Linked DNA regions of Anolis sagrei. The protein of the gene in region 4 interacts with the protein of the main gene of each other region in a pairwise test. Links are inferred from orthologs where the notes say so. Each region holds a gene or a part of one and is shown on either strand. Other genes may lie near its edges.

Region 1 (7,839 bases), on a different chromosome or scaffold from region 4:
TCTGGTCTCAAGTATTTTGGATAAGGACTACTCAGTCTGTGTTGTTATTGTTTTTGTTGGTGTTGTTCTAGTCATTTTTGGATTCAGTAGAACAAGATGGTAATACCGGTTTTGTTTCTTAGGCCCCATCTACACTACCATGTAATACAGTTTGGAATTACATTATATGGTCAGTACAGATTCATATATGCAGTCAAACTCCATTATATGAGTCTACAGCAGAGCTTTCCAAACTGTGTGTCGCGACACGTTGGTGTGTCGGCTGTAGCGTGTGTTTTTGCGAGCGTAATGCAAAATGACCAAAATCTCAGAAATGTATGTTATTATCTTTCAAATCATATATATTTCAATGTTTACACGAAAGGCTTTTGTGAGATATGTGTGTCCCCATACATTTCGTTATTACAATTTAATATGTGTCCGCATCTCTTATAAGGGGTTGGTTTAACCTTCGATTTGCTAGTAGATTTACGGTGTTGCAAAACGATTCATGTCTACAATAATGGGTCACCTACATTAAATGTTTGGAAAGCTCTAAATGTTTGGAACGTGTCCACATAATGCAGTGCAGATTCAGCCTTAGTATTTTGGCTACAGTCCTACTGGCATGGACTGCAAAGAGGCAGCAATAACAACCATGCTGAAAAGCCCAAATATAAGACCACACTGCATGAATGATACGCATTAGAAAACCTAAAATGATTTTTAAAGGAGCAAGAATCCTAACCGAGCATCATTGTGTGATAACAACAAAAACCTGATTGAGTTGCTGACCGGTAATTAAAAACAGAAGGGACTATACGGAGGGCAGGCAGGCATTAGAAAAGGAAGCGGGCTGCATGCCAGATATTATTAATAAAGCCGAACATGTGGCCAGAAGGAGTGGCGCTACGTGCTGGATGCTTAAAATATAATACGTGGTTCTCATCACGAAGACGGCTGTGGAAACCACAACAAAGGCATTGTAGATTATAGCAGATCAGAACCCACATTGGCACCAAATAAGAGTTTCACCAAACTGTTTTATAGCATCACTGGGAAGGATCCGGTAGCCCAACAACACCTCCAATCTCGAGACAAAAGAGACATTTTAAAAAACTCCTGAGCTGTGATATAATATGAAAGTGCGGAGCACGGGAAGCAGAAAAACCTTGCCGTTTCCTGTCTCGCCCAGTGCTTTTAGTGAGAAAACAAGAAGAGAAATGCAGCTTTAAAAAAACACCTGTTACATCCAGTTTGGGTTTGCAAATCATCTCAATGCTTTTATTTATTTATTTGATGGTTTTTTCCCCCCACATCAGCCTGGACTCTAAAAAGGGAGCTGCTTGGGGCTTTGTCATCGTGATTGATAGAAAAATGACATTTTTATTCCAGATTATCACAGATGGTTGTGCCTAGCATTTGTAGCTGGCAGTCAACATAAGCAGCTTAGTTATACAGGGAGTGCAAGAACTGAGAGGATGTGTCTCAGGGTGCATCTGCACCATAGAATTAATGCAGATTGAGACCAACTTGACTGCCATGGCTCAGTGTTATGGAATCCTGGGGGTTGTAGTTTCATACAGACTTTAGCCTTCTTTGCCAAAGAGTGCTGGTCTCTCACCAAAAGTACAAATGCCATGATTCCATAGTACAGAATCATGACAGTTCAAGTGGTGTCAAAGTGCACCAATTCTGCAATGTAGATGCACTCTCAGACTCACATTTTGGAAATTAGTCTGAAATAAGAAGAGATTTTAAGAGCACAGTTGATCCTCAAATATCTGCTGGGCTTTGTCTGTGGATATCAAAATCCACAGATGCTCAGGTCCCATAATATAGAAAGATGTTGCCATGGCAGCTAGAGTGAAATCATTTGGCTAAAGTTATACAGTGTGAAGGGCCCTTTGCACTTAAAAGGCAGAGTAACACTTTATGAGATCATACAAAGACCTTTTGTCTTTGTATGATCAAATTCAATGCTGCTCTGAATGTAATTTAACAGAAATAAAATCTTTTATTACACCACTGCACTAGGCAAGGCCTGACCAAAGCTGCACACCATATATACTTACTTAGGCGATCTCTCGTGGCCCTCCAAGTGTTGTGTCTTGGTGGTGGGTCCGTTGTAGCTGGCTGTGGAGCCCTATTCCTGATTCATCAAGTTCCTGGTGGAAGGTGATCCCGGTCAGGGTTGGCTTGAGCACCTTCCTCTTGGCACGTTTCTCTTTTTCACCCACCATTCATGCCTCTTTGAATTTCACAACACTGCTAGGCCCAGCTGACTTCCAGCTAGAGCGCTCAAGGGCCAGGGGCTTCCCAGTTCTCAGTGTCTATGCCTCAGTTTTTAAGGTTAGTGTTAAGCCCATCTTTAAATCTCTTTTCCTGTCCACCAACTTCCCATTTTCCGTTCTTGAGTTGGGAATATAGTAACTGCTTTGAGAGACTATAATCAGGCATTTGGACAACATGGTCAGTCCAGCAGAGTTGGTGGCGTAGTAGCATCACTTCAATGCTGGTGGTCTTTGCTTCTTCCAGTACGTTGACATTTGTCTATTTGTCTTCCTAAGAAATTTGCAGGATGGAATTGTTACAGGAGTTGAGTGTGACGTCTGTAGACAGTCCATGTTTCGCAGGCGTATAGCAGGGTTGGGAGGACAATGGCTTTATAAACAAGCACTGTGGTCTCCCTACGGATGTCCCGGTCCTCAAACACTCTGTGCTTCATTTGGAGGAATGTTGCACTTGCAGAGCTCAGGTGGTGTTGTATTTCAGTGTCAATATTCTCGTATGCTTCTGCAAAAGAGTGACTTATAGGTCTTCTGAGTGAGCATAGATTATGTTATCATCAGCATATTGGAGTGTTGTATTTCAGTATCAGTGTTGACTTTGTGGGGAAGTGGCTGCCAAGGTAGTGGAAATAGTCAACATTTTCTAACGTTACACTATTAAGCTGAATTTCTGGCATCGAAGAGGGACTGGCTGGTGACTACTGGAAGAGCAATTTGGTTTTCTCGATGTTCAGTGAGCCGAGCTTCTCGTATGCTTCTGCAAAGGTGTTTAGAGTGGCATGTAGATCTTCTTCTGAATGTGCACAGATTATGTTATCATCAGCATACTGGAGTTCTATAACATGTTGTAACCTTGGTTTTCGCTTTCAGTCTGCTGAGGTTGAATAGCTTGCCATCTGTCCGATAGATGATTTCCACTCCAGTGGGAGGCTTCCCATCAACAAGATGAAGTATCAAAGCAATGAAGATGGAAAATCAAGTGGGGGCAATAACACATCCCTGTTTCCCACCTGATGCCACCTTAAATGGGTCAGTGAGAGGCCAAACTTTTTGTATACTTCTGCAAAGGTATTTAGAGTGGCTTCCAGGTCTTCTTCTGAATCTACACAGACTATATTATCATTGGCATACTGGAGTTCTATAACATGTTGTTGTAACATTGGTTTTGGCTTTCAGTCTGCTGAGTGTAAATAGCTTGCCATCTGTACAATAGATGATTTCCACTCTGGTGGGAAGCTTCCCATCAACAAGATGAAGTATCAAAGCAATGAAGATGGAAAATAAGGTTGGGGCAATAACACATCCCTGTTTCACACCTGATTCCACCTCAGATGAGTCAATGAGAAGCCAAGCTTCTCGTATACTTCTGCAAAGGTATTTAGAGTGGCTTGTAAGTCTTCTTCTGAATGTGCACAGGCTACGTTATCATCAGCATATTCGAGTTCTATAACAGATGTTATATTTGTGTGTATATACATACATACATTCACACAACATATGGAGCCAACTGTACTTATATATATCTTCTTCTTCTTCGGCAATCCCTTGTTGTCCGAGTAGGATAGTCTTCCAGGATCGGTGTACTGGTGGGTCCGTGGGTGACTGTGGAGCCCTATTCTTGATCTGCATCTTCTCCCGCAGTGAGGGAATCGGTTTCCAGGTGGAAGGCGATCCCGGTCGGGGTTGGTTTGATGCACCTTCCTCTTGGCACGTTTCTCTTTCGCCCTCCATTTGTGCCTCTTCAAATTCTACAGCACTAATGGTCACGGTTGACCTCCAGCTGGAGCGCTCAAGGGCCAGGGCTTCCCAGTTTTTAGTTTTTAAGGTTGGCTTTGAGCCCATCTTTAAATCAATGGGACCAACTGTATATATATTTAAGTACAGTTCACCCCATGTTCCCACAGATCCTATATCCACGGATTCAACCATCCACAAGCAGTGTGACTCCAGAGACCCAACTCAGCCATGGCTGACCTTAGACAAGTCACACTCTCACAGCTTGAAAGGCCAGTAAAGGTTAGCCCCTTCTAGACGAATCTTGCCAAGGATTTGGAGACTAGGAGGGCCCAGAAGGGCCACTCATGAAGGAGAGTGGAGGAGCCAGAGAGTGGCTTGTGTGTTGTGAGGAGAGAGAGAGAGAGAGGGCGTGCGGAGGGGGGAGCGCACCCCCCTGGGAAGAGCCTGCCTCGCTGTTGCTGGGGCGAGGGCGGTGATGTCAGCGGCTGCCTCTGCGCTCGCGCTGGCTCTTCCCCCAGCCACGCCCCCCTCCCTCCCTCCCCGGGCATTCCCTGGCTGTTGATACAGAACAGCCCCGCCCTTTCCTTTGCTCAGGCTCCAGCTTGGCTCCGCCCCCTTTCCCTCCCTCGAGCGACCTTTCCCCTAGTTTCCAAAGGGGTGGCTCGGCTCCTCTGCCGCCGCCGCCGCCGTGCCCACGCGGGGCCTTTCCTGCTCGGAGCCGAGCTGCACGAGGCCATCACGCCGCCCGCGAGAGCCGATTGGCCGGCCGAAAGGCAGCTCGGGTCGTGATTGGCTGCGGCGCGCCACACTCTTCCCCCGTTCGCTCTGTCCTCCTCCGCCCCTTCCAGCTGCTCGTGCTGGATGGAGTGTTTTGGTGGGTTTCCTTCTGTGTTTTGGCGGCGCGCCTCCCTGCAAGGAAGGAGGGAAGGAGGAGGGAAGGGAAAGAGGCGGGGAAGCAGCAGGGAGAGCGCTCCGGCTGGCTTTGTCACTGCTGCTGCTGCTGCTGCTGCTGCTGCTGGGGCTGCTCCTCACTGCAGGAGCCCTTCTTCACCATGCACACCGAGGAGATGGGGGACAGCCCCGCGGTGAGTGCCGGCTTCGAGTCGGATCAGATCCGCATCAAGGGGAGCGGCGGGTGGGATGGGATGGATGATGATCCAGAACAACTCCTGCCTAGTTAGGTTTTTAATTATATATAAATGCATCACACTCTCTCTCTGTGTACAGAGTGTCCCAAAAATGTAAACATCCTTAAAATGCTTAATCTGAAATTATTATTATTCTATATTTACTTGCAATTTGATGAACATTGGTAAACCAGGAGATCTAATGCAGGCTAGTTAGATCTGTATCTATTTATCTACAATGTTGTTATTATAATATTTGCAATTTATTTTCACAAAGTATACACCCATAACCGTTTATCATCCCAGTATGATAATAATAGTAATCTTATTTGTTCGTTATCTCAATAATGTACATACCTTTTAACAGTTTATAATGCTGGAATTATTGTTGTTGTTGTGATTGTTTTAATTAAGTTATTTCAAAAAGGCATACACCTTTAACTGCTTATAATTCTGGAATTATTATTGTTATTATTATGACTGCTTTATTTGCAAGTTATTTGTACCTTTAACTGCTTATAATTCTAGAATTGTTGTTGTTATTATTATTATAACTTTTATTTCCAAGTTATTTGCACCTTTAACTACTTATAATTCTGTACCTTTAACTGCTTATAATTCTAGAATTATTATTGTTGTTATTATTATGACTTTTATTTGCAAGTTATTTGTAACCTTAACTGCTTATAATTCTGTACCTTTAACTGCTTATAATTCTGGAATTGTTGTTTTTATTATTGTTATTAATACATACCTCAAAAGGTATACACCCATAACAAACTACTACTACTATTATTATTATTATTATTATTATTATTTGAGGTTTATTTGAAAAGTGTAGAGTCCAATAAGAGCATATAAATCTGGAATTATTATTATTATTGTTATTATTATTATTATTATTGTTATGTGCAATCTTAAAAATGCATGTATCCATATCAGTTTTATCATTCTGGAGTTATTAATATAATTTGCAAATAATTTCAAGAAATGTATACCTCCTCAACAGTTTATAATTCTAGTATTTCCTTGTTTATTTTGCACCCTCCCCCTCCCCTATGTATACATCCTTATCAGATTCCAATAGCAGTGAAGTGTCAGGATTAAGGAGTCCAATAGGAGGGATGTGCCATGAAATCAGAAGAGAAACTTTCAAGTGAGGTCTGCCACTCTTCTGTGTTTGGACAATGAGGGCAGTGGCACTGCTGCACAGGGGCCATTTCAACACTTTACATTGTAGTTTAAGGCGGGGTTTGTCACTCTGATCAAACCATAATGATAATATTTAACAACAACAATAACAACATATTCAGCTCTATTTCCCAAAGGGGACTCAGAGCAGATACTCTTCTTGAATTCAATATAAATTAATTTACTTAGCCTTCCGATAACTAGTATGGCTATTATTATGATGAAGTGTGTGTGTGTGTGTAATATTTCAAGGGAGGTGGCACCCTATGTACCTTGCAAGTGTTACTTTGTGGGTGGGTTTGCCAGGTGGTGTGCCTGAGAGATGCCTTAGTGTTGCATGATGCCAGGGCTGTTTCCCAACGCTTTTAAGGCAGGTAATCTGTTTTGACAAAGCCCATTGCTTTCAAGGTGGTCTGCAATGGGCTTATTTCTAACTTACCCAGTGTTTGTGTGGAAAACACTTCAGAATCCCTTTCTTTGAATAGATGACTGGCAGTTGTGTGTGGGATGCTGGTGGGAGGGGACATTGATTCTCCTTTTAGTGTTGTTGTTTTTGTTGTTGTTGTTATATTTATTTGTACCCTGCTTTTCCCTTTTGATCGACACTCAGAGTGGCTCATAACCTTATAGACAAACTACAGCATACAAATATGGAAACGGAATTAAACATACCATTGTTTAAAAAGGCCAGTGGAAATCTGGGTGGCCACAGGAGGTGCATCCAGAAAAATCATGGTCAGGATTCTATGTCACGCTCATAGATGCATAACCTACGAATCCATATAAATAATCTTTACATAGGGTGCATTACAGATGTAAACCGAATGCAGTTTTACACCACTTTAATTGCTATGGCTCAATTAGAGAAAATCCTGGGAGCTCCCAGCACTCTTTGTCAGAGAAGGCTAAAGCCTTTTTTAAAACTACAACTCCTGGGATTCCATAGCAATGAAATCACAGCAGTTGAAACTGTATTAATTCTATAGATCCACCCTTGTAAGGAAGTGGTACTTATAGTTTGAGGGAATTGCCAGTAAGTGAGGCGGGTGGACTCTGCCTTCCCTTGGTACCTCCTGCCTCGCCCGTTGACTAGTCACCACTGACGCATGCAGTATATTGTGCTTTCGGGTGAGTAATCTCTCTGCGCCGTGGTCCACTGTTGCCTGGTGATCTAGCACAAAGTAATGAGTGCGGGAGAAGCTGATTGCTTCCTTGCTTGGTTTATGTGTGTGTGCAAAACCTCAAAATTGGGCGTGTTATTTCTCCCCCCTCCCCACTCCAGATTATCAATGTTCAGCCTTGCCCAAAGATTGCATGCCATCTCACACACTTCTTTGCTTTCCAGCCAGGCCAGTGTTGTAGACCCCAGCACCACGCCCCCCAACATTGGCTCAGCCAGAGACCACCACCCACTGGCTCACAGGGCTATTTTGATGCATGACCTCGACCCACTCCTTCCCTCCGCCCCACTCCGGCTATATTTGGAGTGGGTGGCTGCTCTGGCTCCCATCCGG
Region 2 (7,766 bases), on a different chromosome or scaffold from region 4:
AAGCAAGGGAATCTTAATAGGGAAAATATCCCTCCTGGGGGAGCTGATGTGGTGCATTAACCCCCTCCTCCAGACCCATTTGCCTATGTAACAGAAAGCAAAGAAGCGAAAGAACTCACCAGATATTCCAAAATCAATCTGTGTCACACTCAATGGTTGTTGGTTGCTTTTGTTTTGTTTTTTATTATTGAACAAGGGGACTTTCACATATACACTAAAACTCTTTTTTATTGCAAGTTTACAATGACCATGTCAAATCATCAGTCCAAAATAAAAAAATATCCAAAAAAGGGGGGAAATAAAAAACACGAGAAAGAACCACGACAAAAACCCAAACAGATTCTATATCCACTGACACTTCTCTTTCAACTTTCTCTCTTGCCCTCCCTCCCTCTTCTCTGGTTTGCTTCTCACATTGAAATAAATCATAAGTTTCTCCGCTTTCCTGCTTACTCCTCTGTGCTGTCTGCCCTTCTTTCCTTGGTCTTTTCCCCAACGTCTATACAACAACACAAAAAAGCAAGAAGGGGAAGAGAAAGCGCTCAATGATCCATTTTTCTCTGTCCTCTTTTTTGTTCTCCATTGGTAAATGCACAGAGAGCAACACAACTGCATTCTTTCCTTGCCTGTGTAATTATTAGCATATGCTTCACATTTTCATCGAAAACAGAACATTAGGTTCCCCCACCCCAGCACACACATACACACACACACACAACACACTCATCAACACTCCCACCATTCTTTCATCCCTTCCTTTTAAAAAAATAAATAAAACCCTGAAAATGGCGCTTTAAAAAAGAAAAGAAAGAAAGAAACAGCAATTATTTCACCTGGCCTCTCATGCTAATAAAGACATGCACCTAAAGCTTGAGATCTCTGGCAAAAGACCTCATTCTTTTGTGTGTTTGTGGTTCTATTTTTATTTTTTTCCTCCTTTCCTTGGCTCATGGGGATATATATATACACACACGCACCGGAAAACTACGAAGGAGGGGAAGAAGGGGGGTTAAAGGGGAAGAAACAAGAAAGACAGAGAGAAAGAGAGAGAAGGGGGAGAAACAAAATATATAGAATTAGATATATATATTAGATTCTATAAATAATCAGAGTCATTTTTTATGAGGGGGAGGTGGTTCTTTTTGCTGCTGCTGCTGCTGTTGCCGGTTCTGTTTGTTTTGTTTTGTTTTTTTTCCCCTCTGTTTGTTTATAACCTTGTAATATCCTCTGCTCGTGCTTCCTGAGATGAGCTTTGCGAGTGGTCTTCGCTGCTGACCACCACCGCGTTGGAAGGAGCCGCCGGGAGGGATCCGGCCGAGGAATTGGCCGGGGCTGTGGACCTCACTTTGGTATTGGGCAGCCGGTGGTCTTTTTTCCATTTCATCCGCCTGTTCTGAAACCAGATCTTGATCTGCCTCTCCGAGAGACACAAGGAATGGGCGATCTCGATCCGCCTCCGCCGGGTCAGGTACCTATTGTAGTGGAACTCTTTCTCTAATTCCAAGACCTGCTGTCTGGTGTAGGCAGTCCTGGATCGCTTGGGCTCGCCTCCATTGTAATTGGGGTTCACTGGAAAAACCAAAGAGGACCGTGAATAAACCAAGGAGGGAGGGAGGGAAGAAGGGTTGAAGGGAAAGGAAGGGGAGCGGGTTAGATGCACACACCGAGAGGAAGAAAGATCTCCAGTGGCTCAAGGGAAAGAGAGGAGGAGAAATACAGAGAGAGAAAGGGGGGAGGAGGAGGAGGAGAAGAAGAAGAAGAAGTCATCAGCTCAATGGGTTATAAAGAACCCAGGACTTTCCCTCGGATTAAGAAGGGGTTTCCCTGGCTTGCAAAGAGCCTGAATTATTTATGCACCCCTCGCAAAGCCGTTGGAGTTTCACACATACATAACAGAACGAACCACATGGCTCGGGCTGCCCAGACTAGCTTGGCTATAAAATTTATGGTGGGTGTAATTACCCACTCGGAGTCGTAAATCCCGCTCAATTGTGCTAACCCAAAGACTCTCGTTGAAGGCAAAGGAGGTGATGGAGGGAGAGAGAGGCAGACAGCGAGGGAGAGAGAGAGAGAGAGGAGGAAGAGACTGAGGCAGGGACAAGGAAAGAAGCAGAGGGAGAGAGAGGGAGAGAGGAAAAGGGGAAGGAGAGGAGCAAAAGTTGCCTACCCGTACTGACGTGGATTTTTTTCATCCAGGGGTAGACTATGGGCTGCTTAGAGGCCGTGCTGCTGGGGTGGTCGGGGTTTTGCTGGTTGCAGGCTGGGGGAGCTGGGGATGGCGAGGTGGCGGCGCTGGGAAGAGCCGTTTGGTCGCAGAGCTGCGGCTGCGGGGGCTTCTCGGGGAGGTGGTGGCCTCCAGGCGGTGGTCCATGGCCCCTCGGATGCACGGAGGGGTTGCCGGGACCTTGGAGGCTGGCACAGCTGTACTGGCGCTCGGGGTAGCTGGGTCGCGGTGGAGGAGGAGGAGGTGGAGGAGGTGGCGGTGGCGGAGGAGGAGGTGGCGGAGGGTACAATTCCTGGTGGTGGTGCTGGAAACTGGGCTCCCTGGTCCGGCTGTAATATTCCGGACTGTGGTCTGGGATGTAATTATTTTGCGAATATTCTTCGCATGGAGGAAATTTCGGATCGATGTAGTTAGAGTCCATCAAATACGAGCTCATGATCATTAATTTCTGGAGTGGAAAATAATTTTTCTCGCTTTGTCGTTTTTCTGCTCCATAAAACCCTCCTACTAGCTGGCGACCCCGTAAAGTTAGTTTCACCATGTGACTATTTGCGCCAATCACGCCAGCCGAGCGAGTCCCCGGATAAGGAACCAAAAGCTTATTCAAAATGTATCCAATTTGTGTGTGTGTGTGTGTGAGCGCGCGCCAGGGTGCGGGTGCCTGTGTTCTTGTTGTTGTTGGTGTGATCCCCTTCCCCTCAGAGCAAAAGAGGGGTGTGTGAGAGAGAAAGAGAGAGAGGGAAAGAGAGAGAGAGAGAGAGAGGTTGAGGGGGAGGAAGGGGCAGATCTTACAGCCAGGCAGGCAGTCCTGTGTGTGCTCCTCGTCTTCAAAAGGTAGTATCAATGCTCAGAATATTAATAGAAGTAAATTCATTTATTTGACAGAGAGATGGTGTGGAAGAGTACCTCCTATATGATTAATCTCTTCCCCCAAACTACCCCCACCCCTTGTTTTCTAGGTGCACAGCAAGTCCTCTCTTGTAGACAACCAAGAGCTAAGCCAGCCTTAAGCAGGAAAGACAACCATTTTTTAAACACTGCAGCATGCTCAAATTTGCTCTGCTTGTTTCACCTTAAAAGCTGTGGGGAGAGATGTGCCCCCTCCTCCTCCCCCCCCCCCCCCATCCAGGACACCGCTGGGATCCTTGTCTGCAGATCTGGCCCCACCCCCACTCCCAACCTACACACATACACAAAACTCAAAAACTCAAAGGAAGTTCAACATCTGTCATCCAATTGTTTGCAGGCAGAGAGACAAAGAAGGCAGGTTACCTGGGGGGGGGGGGGAGGAGAAGAGAAGGTGGGGGAAGGGAGTATGCAAATCATCTTTGCGTCATTTGGAGTGAGAGTGCTCTAGAAAGGCTCATCAACCCTTGCTTAAGGGAGGTCTGATGGGGTTTTCATAAGAGAGGATGGCGAAGATGAAAAGCAGGAAAAGTTCCTTCCAGACAGATGGCAAGGCCACCAACCTTCTCTTCTTCTAACCAGGGGATGGAGAGGTGGAGGAGTCTAGTAGAAGGAGGTGTTGTTGTTGGGAAACTGGTAGCTGGGTGCTTGCTTTATACCAATCTTCTCCTGCTCAATGTCAAGGCATTGTTGTGGGAAAGAACACACATACATATAGTCTAAATGAGGGAGGAAAAGAAGGAAGGAAGGTGGGTGTCCATTCACATACAAGAGGTATGATATTCTATTCTTCTTCCCAGCCAGAAATCCCTGCAGAAGTAGGAAGAGTCAGCTCACAATCTCTGGTTTCAATCTTGAGTCAGGGATGATGGGCAGAAGCAGCCCTGCTTGAGTGTGCCTGTGTTCCCCCATAAGATACATAAACAGACCTCTGGGTAGGCTCAGCAAGCTGGGATGGGAAGCAAACATTTTAAAGAGTGCAGTTATTGCAGTTAAAAGGCTTTATCTATAGCTTACATTAAGAAGATGGGGCACCGACAGTCGGATTAATCCCTTGTACTGCTTGATAACAATTATAGTTGAAAATCATAGCTTGCAGGGCATTGCAATATTTTACTTGATAACAATAAAAGTGACACATAAAGTTAACTGTTTATGTTTTATTTATTAGACTAAATGTGCCAGCGGTGTCGGAGGCTCTGGGCTGGTTGTAACAGTTTTTATGGGGCTGTAAAACGCCATAAATCAGTCACTTGAAATGGTTAGGTCTCTCTCTCTCCCTCTCTTCCTCCCTCCCTTCTTTCTCTGGCAAGGGCTTGTGTGAGCTCTGAGCTGCCTTTTCAGCGACTGCTGCTCCTTCTTTGCAAGAGAGAAGTCACAATTCCGGATTTTATTATCAGGAGCACACTTTACCTTCTCTGTTATTCTAATTATTTATTCAAGACCTGGCTGTATGATGGTCCTCCCGACCAATCTCTTTACCCTGCCTCAAAGCGTGTGTTCTTGTTCAAAGAATGTGCTCTTCAAGATCTTTAAGCACAGCACACTGAAATCTCAAATATTAGCCTGTTAACTGCAACATCTGGGAGAAGAACCCCAAGAAAGGAGAACATTTAACAAAGCTCACCACTCTGAAATCTCAAATATTAGCCTGTTAACTGCAACATCTGGGAGAAGAACCCCAAGAAAGGAGAACATTTAACAAAGCTCTGCATCGTCCATATACTCCCCTAGAGACGAATTTGTGATTGAGGTGCTCACACAAATTCGATTCTACAGGGTACATATAAACGACTGGAGAATTGGGACTGCCTATTTCAGGAGGAGGGGGGAAGGTTACTTCTCTCCAAGCCCACACCAAAGGATGTCCTCCACCAGCCTTTCTTTCTTTTGATGGCTAAAGGGCAGAAGAGAGCAGCCCTCAAGACTTCCAAAAAGTCATTAAACAAGTTAAGCAGTTCCCAAGTTGAGCATGCATGTTTCTGAAGAATTTTGCCACTTCTCCTCACTTTGAGAACTGGGCCCTGAAAGATGACCTTCATTTCTATTCAGGTGACCACATAAAAATCTACTGTTTTGATTAGCCTCTTTTTATCAGTCCATGAAATATTTGGGCCAAGTTCACCCTGAAAAGGTTTTTCATGCACAAATACTATGTGGAATTGTCAGCTTGCTTGCTGGTTGATTGATTGATAGATTCTGAGGAGGAGAAATGTGGTTTGCTCCAAAAGAAGGGGAAAATGGAGGAAACCTTTTCTTTTGATGACCAGTCCTAGTGTAAGTGGAACATTTCAGACTATCTTTACAATGTCATTCCTATTGAGAACTCACCTGATTTTGTTCATTCTATACATTCTCCATTGAAGGAGAACGTTGAAGCTTGGGATCTATAAGATATGCAGGCATGACAGGAATAGTACTAAGGGAGGGAGAAAGAGAGAGAACATGCATTTTATTTATTTATTGAAATTATAGGATAGATGCTGAAAAATAGAAACACTCACCAACTAGGAATAATATTAAGCAAGTATCCCTACTGTTTCTACAAACACCCATATTACTCCTTCCATCAGGTTTTTATGGATTGTAATAGTTGTATGGAACTCATTCTCCCCAAGTTTGTGTTTGCCATGACTGTTTCATGTTTCAAAAAAGTATTAGTTCTGATTTTAGTAATATGAGTACTCTTTCTGCTCCACTTACTATTACTACCAATGCTATACAGTTGCCATCACTATGACTAGTTAAAATTATACTCTTTTACATATACTATCAAAATCTTATATCTAACATCAGTCTTATACACACTTGCTTGGGAGTTAGCCTCACTGAAATCAGGGAGACTTACATCTGAGTAGACCACATGTCTTTGTGTTGTTCAGTATATGCTGAGCAAATTCCCACTGAATTTAGTGCAGCCTTCAAGTGCTTGATTTGAGATGCAGAGTGCCCATTGGGGACCTTAATAGAATTCAAATGAAGAGATAAGGAGGAGGGATGAAAGATTTACCAACTGAAGCTATAACTTTTAAGCACATTTAATAGGGAGTAAACCTCATTGAACTAAGGACTCTTCCACACAGGCATATATCCCAGAAGATCGAGGCAGAAAATCCCACAATATCTGCTTTGAACTGGGTTATCTGAGTCCACACTGCCATATATTCCAGTTCAAAGCAGATAATGTGGGATTTTATTCAGCTGTGTGGAAGGGGCCTCTGTGGCTTTTAACTCCCATTAGCCACAACAGAGACTCAGGGCCCTTCCACACAGCCATATAATCCAGAATATCAAGGCAGAATAATCTGTGTTGAATTGGAATAGCTGAGTCCGCAGTGCCATACATTCCAGTTCAAAGCAAAAAATGTGGGATTTTATTCAGCTGTGTGGAAGAGGCCTCAGTAGACAGTTTATTTTGGCAGGGTGAGACTATCCTGGATAATTGTAGCTTAAACTTCCTGATTCATAAGGGTGAACTAAACAAATAAAACTATATCCATATTGGGTTGTTGTAGGCTTTTTAGGGCTATATGACTATGGTCTAGAGGCATTCTCTCCTGACGTAAAATTACAGCAGCACAACAACAGAGAGGAAACAAACAAGGACATCTATTCACCTCTCAACAAAAGTTTGCTCCAGGCACTGTCAGTCCATTATATGTTAATCAAGGTGGTCAGTTGAAACATTCACACCTAGCTCCAACAGACAAGAGTCCTTTGTCCCACTCTGGTCATTCCACAAATATATAAACCCTTTTTCCTAGTTCCAACAGACCTCACTACCTCTGAGGATACTTGCCATAGATGCAGGCGAAACGTCAGGAGAGAATGCCTCTAGACCATGGCCATATAGCCCGAAAAAACCTACAACAACCCAGTGATTCCGGCCATGAAAGCCTTCGACAATACATATATCCATATTATTATCCTCTTAATCATTCTTTTAGGGCTCATGGAAAAAAGAGCAATGCGGCTATGGGAGATGGTAATAACTGGAAATGAGGACACATTGTTTCCAGCGAGTCTTACTTCCATAAGAGATAGCAGATCTATACACTGGAGTTTAAAGTCCGAGTAAGCATGAACAGATTCAAGAAGCAGGATGTATGCAAAGCTACTTAAAAGTAAGATCTCGCTCTTTCTTTGCATCAGATCCGCCTGTAGACACAGTCTCCTGATTTTGATCATGTTTACTCGGAAGCAATAGTCTCTCCCGAATAAGTGCATACAGGATTGTAGACATACTCTACCTTTTAGGTTTATTCCCCCCCCCCCCCCTTCATTTTCCATGCTGGGGTTGTTTGTTTTACCTCCTTGTTGGTGTCTGTTTCTGTATCTTAACAGATTCCTGTTTTTCTCTCCTCCAAGATTTGAATTAGATTCCAAAGTTTATATATTCTTTTTCTGTTTCTAAACTTTAAAAATGAAATAAAAAATAAAATAAAATGGCCTTTTTAAAAGTGTCCGGGTGAGTTTCTTTTATGCTTCCTATCAAAGAAAGTTCCAAGAAAGTGTGGAAAAAATTATAAGTGGGGAACAAATCCCTTTTGTTCCTAGAGCATCTCTCTTGCCTCTCTCACACTTCTGCCCTCAGTCCTCCCCCCCCCCTTCCTTATTTTTTTTAAACCAACCAACT
Region 3 (7,015 bases), on a different chromosome or scaffold from region 4:
TGGTCCTGATTGAAATATGTAAGAATTTGCCCCTAATTTTCCAGAGTATCAAGGCAGAAAATCCCACAATATCTGCTTTGAACTGGAATAAATGGCAGTGTGGATGCACATAACCCAGGACTGTTGGAAGGGCCCCTAGAAAACAAACATCCGAGGTTTATTCATGTCTGTTCAAAAAAGTAATCAGTGTGGCCCATTCCAATTTTATTTACAATCACAACCTAATGAAGTCACTCATATCTTTGGAATTTCTATTATTCAATTCCTGTATGATGGTACACAATCATTATTTAATTACAACTGACCAACTGTCTGTGTTTTTCATGAAACAAAAGTGACAGTAAGACTTAGATACTTCTCATCTCTGGTGGTCCCACCATTGGCCACTCCTTTCACACTCTGCTTTCAGTCTTGAGTCTCAAAAATCTAATTTTACAAAATTTGGAAAATAGGGGAAAAAACGGTTTTCCTCATTCTAGCATTTGTAGTTAGTAGTGGGTCCCTGCTGGGGATGGTTGCTTCATAATCCTTGCCCCCAATATCCAGCTCTATCATCTGTTGTCAAAAGTATATTGTGGGATTTTCTGCCTGGATATTCTGGGATATAAGTCTGTGTGGAAGGGCCCTCAGAAAACACAGTTCAAAGCAGATATTGTGGGATTTTCTGCCTTGATAGTCTGGGTTATAGGGCTGTGTGGAAAAGTTCCCAGGGTCCTTCCACACAGCCCTATATCCCAGACTATCAAGGCAGAAAATCCCACAATATCTGCTCTGGACTGGGTTATCTGAGTCCACACTGCCATATATTCCAGATCAAAGCAAATAATGTGGGATTTTATTCAGCTGTGTGGAAGGGGCCCCAGTTATCTGAGTCCATACTAAAATATATTCCAATTCAATGCAGAAAATGTGGAGTTTTATTCAGCTCTGTGGAAGAGGCCCTAGTAACACAGAGTCCTTCCAAACAGCCCTATATCCCAGAATATCAAGGCAGAAAATCCCACACTGATATTCCTGCCTTGATATTCTGAGTTATAGGGCTGTGTGGAAGAGCCCTGGGAACTCTTCCACACAGCCCTATATCCCAGAATATCAAGGCAGAAAATCCCACAATTCCTGCTTTGAACTGGAATATATATTTAGCATGGACTCAGATAACCCAGTTCAAAGCATATATTTTGAGATTTTCTGCCTTGATATTATGGGATATAGGGCTGCATGGAAGGCCCTGGGAACTTTTCCACACAGCCCTATATCCCAGAATATCAAGGCAGAAAATCCCAAAATATATGCTTTGAACTGGGTTATCTGAGTCCACACTAAAATATATTCCAGTTCAAAGCAGAAAATGTGGAATTTTATTCAGCTCTGTGGAAGGGGCTCTAGATAACCCAGTTGAAAGCAGGTAATGTGGGATTTCTGCCTTGATATTCTGGACTATAGGGCTGTGTGGGAGGGTGCTCAAATAACCTAGTTCAAAACATATATTATGGGATTTTCTGCCCTGATATTTGGGGTTATATGGCTGTGTGGAAGGGCCCTAAAATAAATTCAAAGCATATATTATGGGATTTTCTGCCTTGATATTTGGGGTTATATGGCTGTGTTGAAGGGCCCCCAAATAACCTAGTTTAAAGCATATATTATGGGATTATTATTTTTTTGTCGTGTCAGGAGCGAATTGAGAAACTGCAAGTCGCATCTGGTGTGAGAGAATTGGCCATCTGCAAGGACGTTGCCCAGGGGACACCCGGATGATTTGATGTTTTTATCATCCTTACGGGAGGCTTCTCTCATGTCCCCGCACAAGGAGCTGGAGCTGATAGAGGGAGCTCATCCGCCTCTCCCCAGATTCGAACCTGCGACCTGTCGGTCTTCGGTCCTGCCGGCACAGGGGTTTAACCCACTGCGCCACCGGGGGCTCCTATTATGGGATTTTCTGCCTTGATATTCGGGGTTATACGGTTGTGTTGAAGGGCTCTCAAATAACTCAGTTCAACGCAGATAATGTGGGATTTTCTGCCTTGATATTCTGGGCTATAGGGCTGTGTGGGAGGGTGCTCAGATAACCCAGGCCCTTTCCACACAATGGAATAAAATCCCACATTTTCTGCGTTGAACTGGAATATATGACAGTGTGGAAGGGCCCTGAGTCAGAAGAAAGACGGAGTTTTAAAAAACCCGAGATCAATGAATAAAAAGAAATACAAGGCCTCCATGAAAAATTTCACGACTGGAGAACAATAGGGGCCAGTCATTGGGCTCCACGGGAGGGGATTCCGTGGAGATGTCAACCAACCGCCTGTCAGAATGGAGCGGGGAAAGGAGCCTGGCCAAGAATAGCAAGGCCCACCACCATTGTGAATCCTCCCACTGCCCTGGCAGAGTATGAAAGGGGAAAGGCGAGGGCGATGGGCAGGGAGGGGTGCTGACCCGCTTCCAGCCTCCTCTCCCGCAGTGCCTCCCTCTTTCCCTCCCTCTGGGCCCAAGGGAAGGGGCGCAGACACAAAGCGGTCTCCCTCCCTGCCTCAGGAAGGGCCCACCGACGCCCTATCCGAGGGAGGGAGGGAGGGAGGGAGGAAGGGAGGGACCCTCTATCTACCCCTCCCTCCCTCCCGCCGGCCTAGGCCCGAGCCGCCCAGCCACTCCCCCTGCGAGCCGAGCAACGACGGCGAGGCCCCCACCGCCCAGCCGGCACAGACCTCCACGTCGCGGCCTTTATTCTTGAAGCTCTTCAGGCGGTGGTTTTCTAGGCCAGCGGCGGCGGCGGCGGCAGCAGCGGCAGCGGCAGCGGCGTTGTCAGCCATGGCGACGGCGGCAGAGGCGGCTCTGGGCTGGAGCGGCGGCGGCGGCGTGCGCGCGAAAGGGGAGGACGCGCAGTGACGAACGGCAGAAGGGCCCCGCCACTGCGCACGCGCGCCGCACGCGACGCCTCTCAGGGCCCCCGAGTCGTGGGAGGGAGGGAGGGAGGCGGAGCATAGAGCGTCTAAAATGACAGAGTGACACATGATTCGGGAGATGAAGCTTCCTGGTTGTTGCTCATCATGCCTTTTGCTTGCTGGTTTTTTTTTTGCTTCGGGAATTCGCCCCGCCCTTTTCTAGAGGGTCGCCTTCGGAAAGGGTTGTGCGCGTGCGCCGAAAGCATCCTGGCAAGCAGGAATGTAGGAAGGAGGACTGGCTTGAGGAATTGTGAGGGGGAAAATGTTAAAAACAATTGGGTTGTTGTAGGTTTTTTCGGGCTATATGGCAAGCATCCTCTTTGTTCTGATTCAGGGCCCTTCCACACTGTCATATATTCCAGTTCAAAGTAGAAAATGTGGGATTTTATTCCATTGTGTGGAAAGGGCCTGGGTTATCTGAGCACCCTCCCACACAGCCCTACCTCTGAGGATGCTTTTTTGACCCAAGTCAAAAAAGAAGCACCATTAAAGCCCTGACAGACCGTGCAAAAAGAATCTGCGAACCCCATCTCCTCCAACTTAAATCAAGAAATAGTTTTCTTAGATCTACAGAGACACTCGCTGGAACAGCTCAGCAAGCGAGAGTTCAAAAGTGGCAGGCTCAAACCCAGCACCTCAATCCGTGGGTGATACCAGATGAGAGACTCCCCCCTGGGCACACAGAAGACTGGGCGACTTGGAAGGCGCTGAACAGACTGCACTCCGGCACCATGAGATGCAGAACCAATCTTAAGAAATGGGGCTACAGGGTGGAATCCACGGCATGCGAGTGCGGAGAACAGCAAACCACTGACCACCTGCTGCAATGCACCCTGAGCCCAGCCACATGCACGATGGAGCACCTTCTTGCAGCAACACCAGAGGCACTCCAAGTGGCCAGATACTGGTCAAAGGACATTTAATCAGCTACCAAGTTTGCAAAATTTGTGTTTTTTTAAAAAAAATCTGTTTGTTTGTTTTGTTCTGTTAGAAATGTAACACAATGTTCTGGTTGCGGATGACACGATAAAAAAAAAAAACCTCCAAGATGAACTGAACCACCTCAACTGGGCTCTCCAGGCCAATGGAGAGTCCACCTCAGACATCAGAAGAGCTGCAAGACCGTGCAAAAAGAATCTGCGAACCCCACCTCCTCCAAGATGAACTGAACCATCTCAACTGGGCTCTACAGGCCAATGAATACTCTACCTCAGACATCAGAAGAGCTGCAAGACCGAGAACTAGCCACGAGAGTAAAGATGAAGATCCTCCCAGAGAAAAAGTGTTCTTGCCCTACATCAAGGGAACCACTGACCGCATAGGGAAGCGGATGAGGAAACACAACATACAAACTATCTACAGACCCACCAAGAAAATCCAACAAATGCTACGTTCAGCAAAGGACAAGAAGGATCCTCTCGCTTCTGCAGGGGTCTACCGTGTACCATGCAGCTGTGGACAAGTCTACATAGGGACCACCAAACGCAGCATTGCCCAAACACGAATCAAGGAACATGAAAGGCACTGCAGACTATTCCAACCAGAGAAGTCAGCCATAGCAGAGCACCTGATAAACCAGCCTGGACACAGCATATTATCTGAGAACACAGAAATGCTGGACCACTCTCACAACCACCATGTCAGACTACGCAGAGAAGCCATTGAAATACATAAGCATGTGGACAATTTCAACAGAAAGGGGGAAACCATGAAAATGAACAAAATCTGGCTATCGGTATTCAAAAAACTCTAAAATTGCAACAGCACAACAACAGAGGGGAAACAAACAAGGACATCTAATTACCTCTCAACAAAGGTTTGCCCCAGGCGCAGTCAGGCCATTGTATGCTAATCAAGGTGGTCAGTTGAAACATTCACACCTAGCTCTAGCAGAGAGGAGTCCTTTGTCTCACCCTTTATTATTATTATTATTAAACTTTATTTGTACCCCGCTAGCATCTCCCGAGGGACTCGATGCGGCTTACAAAGGCCAAGGCCTTAACACAACAGCAGTAAAACACAAAACAATACAAAACAAAGCAAATTAAAAACATAAGCAATAGCAAGACATTACACTATTACACAATAAAAACCATGGCCGGGCCAGTGATGGGTACAGGTTAAAAAAGTGCTGGGTGTGACAGGAGGTATATTGAGATTCTGGGCAAGTGCCATGTGCAGAGAGTCTTAAACTCTAGTAAAGTGCTTCTGGGACAAAGTGCTGGGTCATCCTATTCTGGAAAGGCACATCGGAATAGCCAGGTCTTCAAATTCTTCCTAAAGACTGCCAACGTGGGTGCTAGTCTAATGTCTTTGGGGAGGTCGTTCCAAAGTCGGGGGGCAACCACAGAAAAGGCCCTGTCCCTCGTCCCCACCAAACGCCAAGGTGGGATCGCAAGCAGGGCCTCTCCAGATGACCGAAGGGAGCGTGTGGGTTCATAAACGGAGATGCGGTCACGAAGGTAGGCAGGTCCCAAACCGTTTAGGGCTTTGTAGGTTAATACCTGCACCTTGAATTGGGTTCGGTAGGTAAATGGCAGCCAATGGAGCTCCTTGAACAGGAGGGTTGACCTCTCTGTAAGGAGCACCAGTTAACATCCTGGCCGCCCCCCGTTGAACCAGTTGGAATTTCCGAGCCGTTTTCAAGGGCAGCCCCACATAGAGCGCATTACAGTAATCCAATCTAGAGGTGACTAAGGCATGGACCACCCCGGCCAAATCAGCCTTCGCGAGGTACGGTCGCAGCTGGCGCACCAGTCTTAACTGTGCGAAAGCCCTCCCGGACACCGCCGACGCCTGAGCCTCAAGCGTAAGTGATGAATCCAGAAGAACTCCCAAGCTGCGGACCTGTGATTTCAGGGGGAGTGCAACCCCATCCAGCACAGGTTGCCACCCTATACCCCGATCCGGTTTACGATTGACCAGGAGGACCTCTGTCTTGTCGGGATTGATCTTCAGCTTGTTCTTCCTCATCCAGATAGCCACAGCGGCCAGGCACTCGTTCAGCACTCGAGGGGCCTCCTTGTCATGCCACAGATATATAAACCCTTTTGCCTAGTTCCAACAGACCTCACTACCTCTGAGGATGCTTGCCAAAGTGCAGGCGAAACATCAGGAGCGAATGCCTCTAGACCATGGCCATACAGCCCGAAAAAACCTACAACAACCCAGTGATTCTGGCCATGAAAACCTTCAACCATGCTTTCCATAGATGCAGGCGAAACGTCAGGAGAGAAGGCCACTAGAACATGGCCATATAGCCCGCAAAAACCTACAACAACCCAGTGATTCCGGCCATGAAAGCCTTCGAAAATACATTAAAAACAATTAATTTCCTGCCCTAAATTCTGTAGTAGTTTCCAGGAAAGCCATCTGGGAATTTATTCTCCATCTAAAAGTCCTTCCACACAGCCATGTAAACCAGAAGATCAAGGCAGATAATCCACAATATCTACTTGGAACTGGGTTATCTGGGGGACCTTCCAAACAGGCCCCATATCCCAGGATCTGATCCCAGGTTTTCTGCTTTAAACTGGATTATATGAAAATCCCACAATCTCTGCTTTGAACCGGCTTATCCACACTCAGATAATGTGGGATTTTATGTACATTTTATGTACATGCGGCCTGCTCTTTGTCCTTATGTTCGGTTTTTATGTTCTATGTATATTGTTTATATGCTTTGATGTTTATACTTTAATGTTATGTTGTTTATCTTATTGTAATTTTGTATTTTAATTTGTTGTTCGGGCTTGCCCCCATGTAAGCTGCTCCGAGTCCCCGTTGGGGGAGACGGTGGCGGGGTATAAATAAAGTTTATTATTATTATTTAGGCAGATGACACCACTTTGAAATAATGCCTGGCTGCTCATTGGAGGGAAGGATAGTAGAGGCAAAGATAAAGTACTTTGGCCACATAATGAGAAGACAGGAAAGCTTAGAGAAGACAATGATTCTGGGGAAAATAGAATGAAAAGGGAAGAGGAGCCAGCCAAGGGCAAGATGAATGGATGGTATCCTTGAAGTGACTGACTTGACATTGAAGGAGCTGGGGGTGGCCACGTCTCACAGGGAGC
Region 4 (7,599 bases):
AATGTGGGATTTTATACAGTTGTGTGGAAGAGGCCTGAAAGACTGAAGAGATTGAAAAAGTTATAGTTTTTTTGTTTTTTCTTTCTTTTTTTGGGTAGGTTATAGAGTATCCTTTGTAGATCCACTAATTATGTTTTTAAAAAAAACAGATGTGTTTGTAGAAATTATTTTTATTTTATATCACTCACAGCCCTTCCACACAGCCATAAAACACAGAATATCAAGGCAGAGAATCCACAGTATCTGCTTTGAACTGGATTGTCCAAGTCCAGTTCAATTTGGATTTCATGCAGCTGTGTGGAAGGGGCCTCGGTCTTTCAATGGCCACACTGTACTTTCTGGGCAGGACTGAAGTCAATGACAGCACTTTAATTTAAAGAAGCTTTAAAGCCCAGTCAACTTAAAAGACTGCATCTCCTTCTATGAAGCTGCATGAGCTCTGAGATCAACAGAAGTCCTTCTCCCAATCCCACCACCTTCGCAAATACAGTTGGTGGGAACAAGACAGGGCCTTTTCGGTAGTTGCTGCACGGCCCTGGAACTCCCGAAAGACATCAGAATGGTCTCCCCTTCACTAACTTTCAGGTGCCAGATAAAAACTTTTCTCTGGAATCAGGCCTTCAAGGAAGAATAATACAAGAGTGATAGGCGCCATAGTAGCATTTGAGCTGAATCTTTTTCCTGCAATACCTTTATGGACAAGTGGTATTAGAACAGATAATTACTTTGGTTTATGTTTACAGTGTTCCCTCACTACTTCGTGGTTCGCTTTCAGCGGATGCGCTGTTTTGCGGTTTTCAAAAAATATTAATTTAAAATATATATTGTGGTATTTTCGCTGTTTCGCAAGTTTTGCTGCCGCGGCCTCCAAAACACTTTTCCTCCTCAGTACTCCCTCCCTCCAGCCTTGAAGGGCCTTTCCTTCCTTTCCTTTCCTTTATTTTAAGTTTATAAAGACGTAAAATAGTGTATAACTACTAAAATAATGTATAAATATTAAAATAAATATAGTGTCCCTACATCGCGGTTTTTCACTTATTGCGGGAGGTCCTGGAATGTAACTCCCGCAATAAGTGAGGGAACACTGTATTTAGTTTTAACTATACCTAAAGTGCTGAATGTATTTTAATCTGTAACATATTCTGTTATGGTGTAACTGCTTTATTATGTTTCAGTTGTCATTTTTTTAAAAAATCTGTTTATTTTTATTATCCCAATGTACTTTGTATGTTTTATACCTAGTTGTTGGCCACTTTATTTATTTTTCAGCATTTTTACCCCGCCCTTCTCAACCCCCGAGGGGGGACTCAGAGCAGCTAACAAGGGCAGCAATTCGATGCCACAATCAATAACACAGTATAAAACCATAAATACATACAGAGTTAAAACAATAGCAGTTAATTATAACCAAATTATCATAAGTCATGAAAAAAAAATACTCAGTCCACAAACCCACTGATAGAGCCATAAAACCGTATCGTCATACGTATCGTCTTGCCAATCCATTTCCAGTCAAAGTGCTGCTTTATGTTTATTGTCCGACAGCCTGGTCCCAAAACCAAGATTTTAATTTCTTCCTGAACACCAGGAGGGATGGGGTCGATTGTATTTCATTTGGAAGCGTGTTCCACAGGCGGGCGGCTACAGCTGAGAAGGCCCAGTCTCTCATCCCCGCCAGCCGCGTTTGCGATGTTGGCAGGAGCGAGAGCAGGGCCTCCCCGGATGATCTTAAGTTATGAGGTGGGACGTAGAGGCAGATGTGTTCGGACAAGTAAGCTGGGCCGGAATCGTATAGAGCAGTGGTTCTCAACCTGGGGTCCCCAGATGTTTTTGGCCTACATCTCCCAGAAATCCCAGCCAGTTTACCAGCTGTTAGGATTTCTGGGAGTTGAAGGCCAAAAACATCTGGGGACTCCAGGTTGAGAACCACTGGTATAGAGCTTTATAGGTAAAAACCAGCACTTTGAATTGAGCTCAGAATTGGACAAGCAGCCAGTGGAGCTGACACAACAAGGGGGTGGTATGCTCCCTGTATGTAGCTCCTGTTAGGAATCTGGCTGCCGCCCGTTGGACTAACTGCAGTTTCCGAACTGTCTTCAAAGGCAGCCCCATGTAGAGTGCGTTGCAGTAATCTTTGAATCCCCAAATGGGGGAATATATTAATTAATTTATATAATTACTATAATTATAATTAATAAATAATTTTTTTAAAAAAAACCGTTACAAGGAAGCACTTGCTGAGGGGGTTTTGGTGGGCTGATCCTGCACGGCAGGAATCGAAAGTGGGTTATTGTAGGTTTTTTCGGGCTGTATGGCCATGGTCTAGAGGCATTCTCTCCTGACGTTTCGCCTGCATCTATGGCAAGCATCCTCAGAGGTAGTGAGACCTCAGTGATTCCGGCCTTGAAAGCCTTCGACAATACAAGAATCGAAAGAATTCAATTCACAAGGCTAATCCAAACATGGGACTGAAAGAGAGTGTGGCTGCTTTTGCTACCCATGATTTTAGATCGAGGTCGCTTTCTGTCATAAGCTTCCTCGAGTCCCATCTTTGGAAGAAAGGCGGGATTCCATAGGCTCCATCCCCTCAGGACAAATGCCCCGGTCTCCGGGGGAATCCCCACAGACAGGAAGACAGGCAAAGAGACAGGCCCAGCCTGGCCTCTCCCCGCCCGGACTCACGGTCTCTGAGGGGGCTCCTCGGCGGCGGAGGCGGCGGCCACTCCGGCCGAGGAAGCGGCTGAGGCGCCCGCTGGAATGGCGGCAGGGCTCTGCTGCTGCTGGAAGGAGCGGAGGGACTCGAAGGCCTTCATCAGCTTCTCCATGGTGGCCATGACTACACTCGGAGGGCTCCGAGAAGGAAGCCCACTCCTCCGGCGCCTTCCCGCTCAGGGCAGCACAGCAGGCCTCGGAACTCAGAGCAGGCAAGCGCCCTCAGCCCGCCTCCAGCGCACCGACGCCATCTTGGAAAGCTCCCGTCATTCCCCGCGGCACCGCGACGGAACGCCCCCTCGCCGTGTCCTTGTCCCCTCGCCACTTCCGGGCTTCCCCTTGAAAGGCAGGCCAAACGCCAATCAGCGCCAAGTAGAGGAGGATACGCTCCGCCTCCTGGCCAGCTGTATGGAAGGGGCCTCAGATAACCCAGTTCAAAGCAGGTATTACAGATTAGCTGCCTTGATATTCTGAGGGCCCTTCCACACAGCCCTATATCCCAGGATATCAAGGCAGAAAATCCCACTATTGCGAAAGACTGCTCCAACTTCCGTACAGTGGCCCTTATTTCTCATACCAGTAAGGTAATGCTCAAGATCCTGCAAGGAAGACTCCAGCAATACATGGAGCGAGAGTTGCCAGATGTTCAAGCTGGGTTTAGAAAAGGCAGAGGAAGGAGAGACCAGATTGCCAATATCCGCTGGATAATGGAGAAAGGCAGGGAGTTTCAGAAAAACATCTACTTCTGCTTCATTGACTATTCTAAAGCCTTTAACTGTGTGGATCATAATAAACTGTGGCAAGTTCTTGGTGGGATGGGCATCCCAAGCCACCTTGTCTCTCTCCTGAGGAATCTGTACAAGGACCAAGTCGCAACAGTCAGAACTGACCACGGAACACCAGACTGGTTCCAGATTGGGAAAGGCGTACGGCAAGGCTGCATCCTCTCACCCAACCTTTTTAACTTGTATGCAGAACACATCATGCGATGTGCGGGGCTGGATGAATGCAAAGCTGGGGTGAAAATTGCTGGAAGAAACATTAACAACCTCAGAAATGCAGATGACACCACTCTAATGGCCGAAAGCGAGGAGGAGCTGAGGAGCCTTCTAATCAAGGTGAAAGAAGAAAGCGCAAAAGCCGGGTTGCAGCTAAACATCAAAAAAACCAAGATTATGGCAACAAGAATGATTGACAACTGGGAAATAGAGGGAGAAAACGTGGAGGCCGTGACAGACTTTGTATTTCTAGGTGCAAAGATTACTGCAGATGCAGACTGTGGCCAGGAAATCAGAAGACGCTTACTTCTTGGGAGGAGAGCAATTTCCAGTCTCGATAAAATAGTAAAGAGTAGAGACATCACACTGGCAACAAAGATCCGCCTAGTCAAAGCCATGGTATTCCCTGTAGTAACCTACGGATGTGAGAGCTGGACCTTAGGGAAGGCTGAGTGAAGGAAGAGAGATGCTTTTGAACTGTGGTGCTGGAGGAAAGTGCTGAAAGTGCCTTGGACTGCGAGAAGATCCAACCAGTCCATCCTCCAGGAAATAAAGCCCGACTGCTCATTGGAGGGAAAGATACTAGAGACAAAGTTGAAGTACTTTGGCCACATCATGAGGAGACAGGAAAGCCTAGAGAAGACAATGATGCTGGGGAAAGTGGAAGGCAAAAGGAAGAGGGGCCGACCAAGGGCAAGATGGATGGATGGCATCCTTGAAGTGACTGGCTTGACCTTGAAGGAGCTGGGGGTGGTGACAGCCGACAGGGAGCTCTGGCGTGGGCTGGTCCATAAGGTCACAAAGAGTTGGAGATGACTGAACGAATGAACAACAACAACCAAAGCTATGAAAGAGTACTGTCTGTGTTAGGATGAAATACAGTTGGCACATAATAAATGCATTTCAAAACACACAACCACCCCCACCACCCCCAAAAAAGGAAAACACTCCAAGCCACAGCTTCTCCTTGAGCTTCATTTTTTTTCCTGCAGATATCTATAAACACCCTAAATGCAGCAGATCCCCTCTGAGCGGGGAATTTTAGAGTGTAACTTTTAATGTTTAATAATACATACGTTTTTAAGGATTATTGAACATCTAATATTTGTTTAGTGTTTAATTATTTGTATGCATGTTTTAAATATGATGTGAGCCACCTTGAGTCAGTCCTGTTGAAAGGTGGCATTGAAATATTTATATATAAATAAAAATGTAATGTTAGTTCGTGTACCATCAGAACTCAAAAACCACTGGGGGAATTGACACCAAATTTGGACACAAGACACCTAACAGTCCAATTTATGTTCTCCATTCAAAAAAATTGATTTTGTCATTTGGGAATTGTCGTTGCTGGGATTTATAGTTTACCTACAATCAAAGAGCATTCTGAACTCCACCAATTATGAAATTGGGCCAAGCTTAGCACACAGGGCTCCCATGACCAACAGAAGAAACTGGAAAGGTTTGGTGGACATTGACCTTGAGTTTGGGAATTATAGTTCACCCACATCCAGAGAGCACTGTGGACTCAAACAATGATGGATCTGGACCAAACTTGGCACAAAAAATCCATATGCCTAAATATGAACACAGATGGAGTTCGGAGGAAATAGTCCTTGACATTTGGGATTTGTAGTTACTGGGACTTTTAGTTCACTACAATTAAAGAGCATTCTGAAACCCACAAACGATAGAAATTGGGCAAACTTCCCACACAGAACCCCCATGACCAACAGAAAATACTTAAGGCCATCCGGTCCAACTCTCTTCACCAGGGCAAGAAAATGTAATCAGAGCTCTCCTAACAAAGAGCCATCCAGTCATAAATATAGATAGATAGATATGATTCTCACACACACACACACACACACACAGATATAGTATAGATTTGAAAGAGACCCTTAAAGAAGGACTATGATATGTTGCATGTTCCAGAGTAGGCAAACCAGACACTCTCCACATCAACACTGACAAAGAAACAAGAAATACTGTTTATTCACAAGAATAAAGGAATTACTTATATTAGAAACCAACACTTTCTCATTACTTTATTTTCCAGATCACCAGACTGGGCCACAGCAATGCGTGGCAGGGGACAGCTAGTCTGTAATAAATAAACACATGGCTTCTGAGGGCCCTTTCACACAGCCCTATATCCCATCAATGCAGAAAATCCCACGTTATCCATGTGTGGACTCATATAACCCAGTTCAAAACAAACATTGTGGGATTTTCTACCTTGATATTCTGGGATAGAGGTCTGTGTGAAAGGGCCCTCAGGCTCCTCTTGCACTGCTTCCCCATCCCAGGGCCCTTCCACACAGCCCTCTATCCCAGAATATCAAGGTTGAAAATCCCATTATATCTGCTTTGAACTGGGTTATGCGAGTCCACACTCAGATAATGTGGGATTTGCTGCCTTGATATTCTGGGATAGAGGGCTGTGTGGAAGGGCCCTCAGAAGCACCGATAGTGTCAATAGGGGTCCGCGCAGCCGCAGTTCCTATCTTCGCGCGCTTCCGGTTTCTCCTCCCTCGGCAGGGGAAGTGCCAGCATCCCTGAAGGAGGCCGGTGGGCGGGGCCTCCAGCGGAAGCCACGCGTGTGAGCCTCCGGAAGCGCAGAGCGCCCAGTCCCCACGCGAGCAACCATGGGGAAAGCTAAGCGTAAGGGAACTCTTGCTGCTGCTGCTGCCTCCGCCAAGACCGACGCCATGGCGCAGAGCAACCCCTTCGAGGTGAAGGTGAACAAGCAGAAGTTCCAGATCCTGGGCCGGAAGACCAGGCACGACGTGGGGCGGCCGGGGGTCATGCGCTCCCGGGCCCACAAAAAGGTGAGGTGATTTGTAAGGATAAATAACAGAATGTCCTTGGTTTAGTTTTGGATTTGATGAGTGGTCCCATTGGAAAATGCATCAGGATGTGAGCAAACTACAATTCTCATCACCTCTGTCATTGCCCCCAAACCGCATCAGTATTTAAAGCAGGGGCACTTCCAGACAGGCCCCACATCCTAGGATCTGATCCCGGGTTTTCTGATTTAAACTGGATTATATAAATCCCTATTGCCAGATAATCTGGGATAAACAGAAAATAATCTATATATATATATAAATGCTCTGTGCATAATGAGTACCTTAAAAACAAAAGAACCAATGAATGAAATAACACCAAATTTGGCAACAAAATGTCTCACAACACAAGGAATGACCATCACTCAAAAAATTATGATTTTGTCATTTGGGAGTTGTAGTTGCTGGGATTTATAGTTCACCTACAATCAAAGAGCACTCTGAACTCCATCAATGATGGAATTGAACCAAACTTGGCACACAGAACTCCCATGACCAACAGAAAACACTAGAAGGGTTTGGTGGGCATTGTCCTTAAGTTTGGGAGTTGTAGTGGACTCAAACAATGATGGATCTGGATCAAACTTGGCACAAGCACTCAATATGCCCAAATATGAACACAGATGGCATTTGGGGAAAATAGACTTTGACATTTGGGATTTGTAGTCACTGGGATTCACAGTTCACTTACAATCAAAGAGCATTCTGTACCCCATGAATGACAGAATTGGACCAAACTTCCCACACAGAACCCCCATGACCATCAGAAAATACTTAAGGCCATCCAATCCAATTCCCTTCATCAGGGCAAGAAAACGTAATCAAAGTCCTCCTGACAAAGAGCCATCCAGCCATAGATCAGATAGATAGATATGATTCACACACAAATACACAGATATAGTATCATAGATTTGAAAGGGGCCCCTAAAGAAGGACAATGATAGGTTGCATGTTCCAGAGTGGGCAAACCAGACAATCTCCACATCAACACTGACATAGAAACAACAAGGAATACTGTTTACCCACAAGCAGAAAGGAAT

What was found. The genes of interacting proteins can lie anywhere in the genome.
Region 1: the proteins of HTT (region 4) and KLF11 interact in binary tests that used the Homo sapiens proteins (3 or more experiments, as listed by UniProt). The link is inferred for Anolis sagrei from reciprocal best matches to the Homo sapiens genes HTT and KLF11.
Region 2: the proteins of HTT (region 4) and HOXC4 interact in binary tests that used the Homo sapiens proteins (3 or more experiments, as listed by UniProt). The link is inferred for Anolis sagrei from reciprocal best matches to the Homo sapiens genes HTT and HOXC4.
Region 3: the proteins of HTT (region 4) and KPNA3 interact in binary tests that used the Homo sapiens proteins (3 or more experiments, as listed by UniProt). The link is inferred for Anolis sagrei from reciprocal best matches to the Homo sapiens genes HTT and KPNA3.

The regions. Positions count from the first base shown.
Region 1 is NC_090021.1:130,476,293-130,484,131, reverse strand, and holds the start of KLF11 (Krueppel-like factor 11), read left to right. Parts: upstream 1-4,829; 5' UTR 4,830-5,059; coding exon 5,060-5,092; intron 5,093-7,839. UniProt on the Homo sapiens protein: Transcription factor. Activates the epsilon- and gamma-globin gene promoters and, to a much lower degree, the beta-globin gene and represses promoters containing SP1-like binding inhibiting cell growth.
Region 2 is NC_090022.1:189,248,837-189,256,602, forward strand, and holds HOXC4 (homeobox protein Hox-C4), read right to left. Parts: upstream 3,011-7,766; 5' UTR 2,766-3,010; coding exon 2,168-2,765; intron 1,570-2,167; coding exon 1,208-1,569; 3' UTR 157-1,207; downstream 1-156. UniProt on the Homo sapiens protein: Sequence-specific transcription factor which is part of a developmental regulatory system that provides cells with specific positional identities on the anterior-posterior axis.
Region 3 is NC_090021.1:149,583,174-149,590,188, reverse strand, and holds the start of KPNA3 (importin subunit alpha-4), read right to left. Parts: upstream 3,011-7,015; 5' UTR 3,009-3,010; coding exon 2,703-3,008; intron 1-2,702. UniProt on the Homo sapiens protein: Functions in nuclear protein import as an adapter protein for nuclear receptor KPNB1. Binds specifically and directly to substrates containing either a simple or bipartite NLS motif.
Region 4 is NC_090025.1:105,052,077-105,059,675, reverse strand, and holds the start of HTT (huntingtin), read right to left. Parts: upstream 3,005-7,599; 5' UTR 2,835-3,004; coding exon 2,683-2,834; intron 1-2,682. Other genes in the region: NOP14 (nucleolar protein 14), read left to right, coding at 6,359-6,541.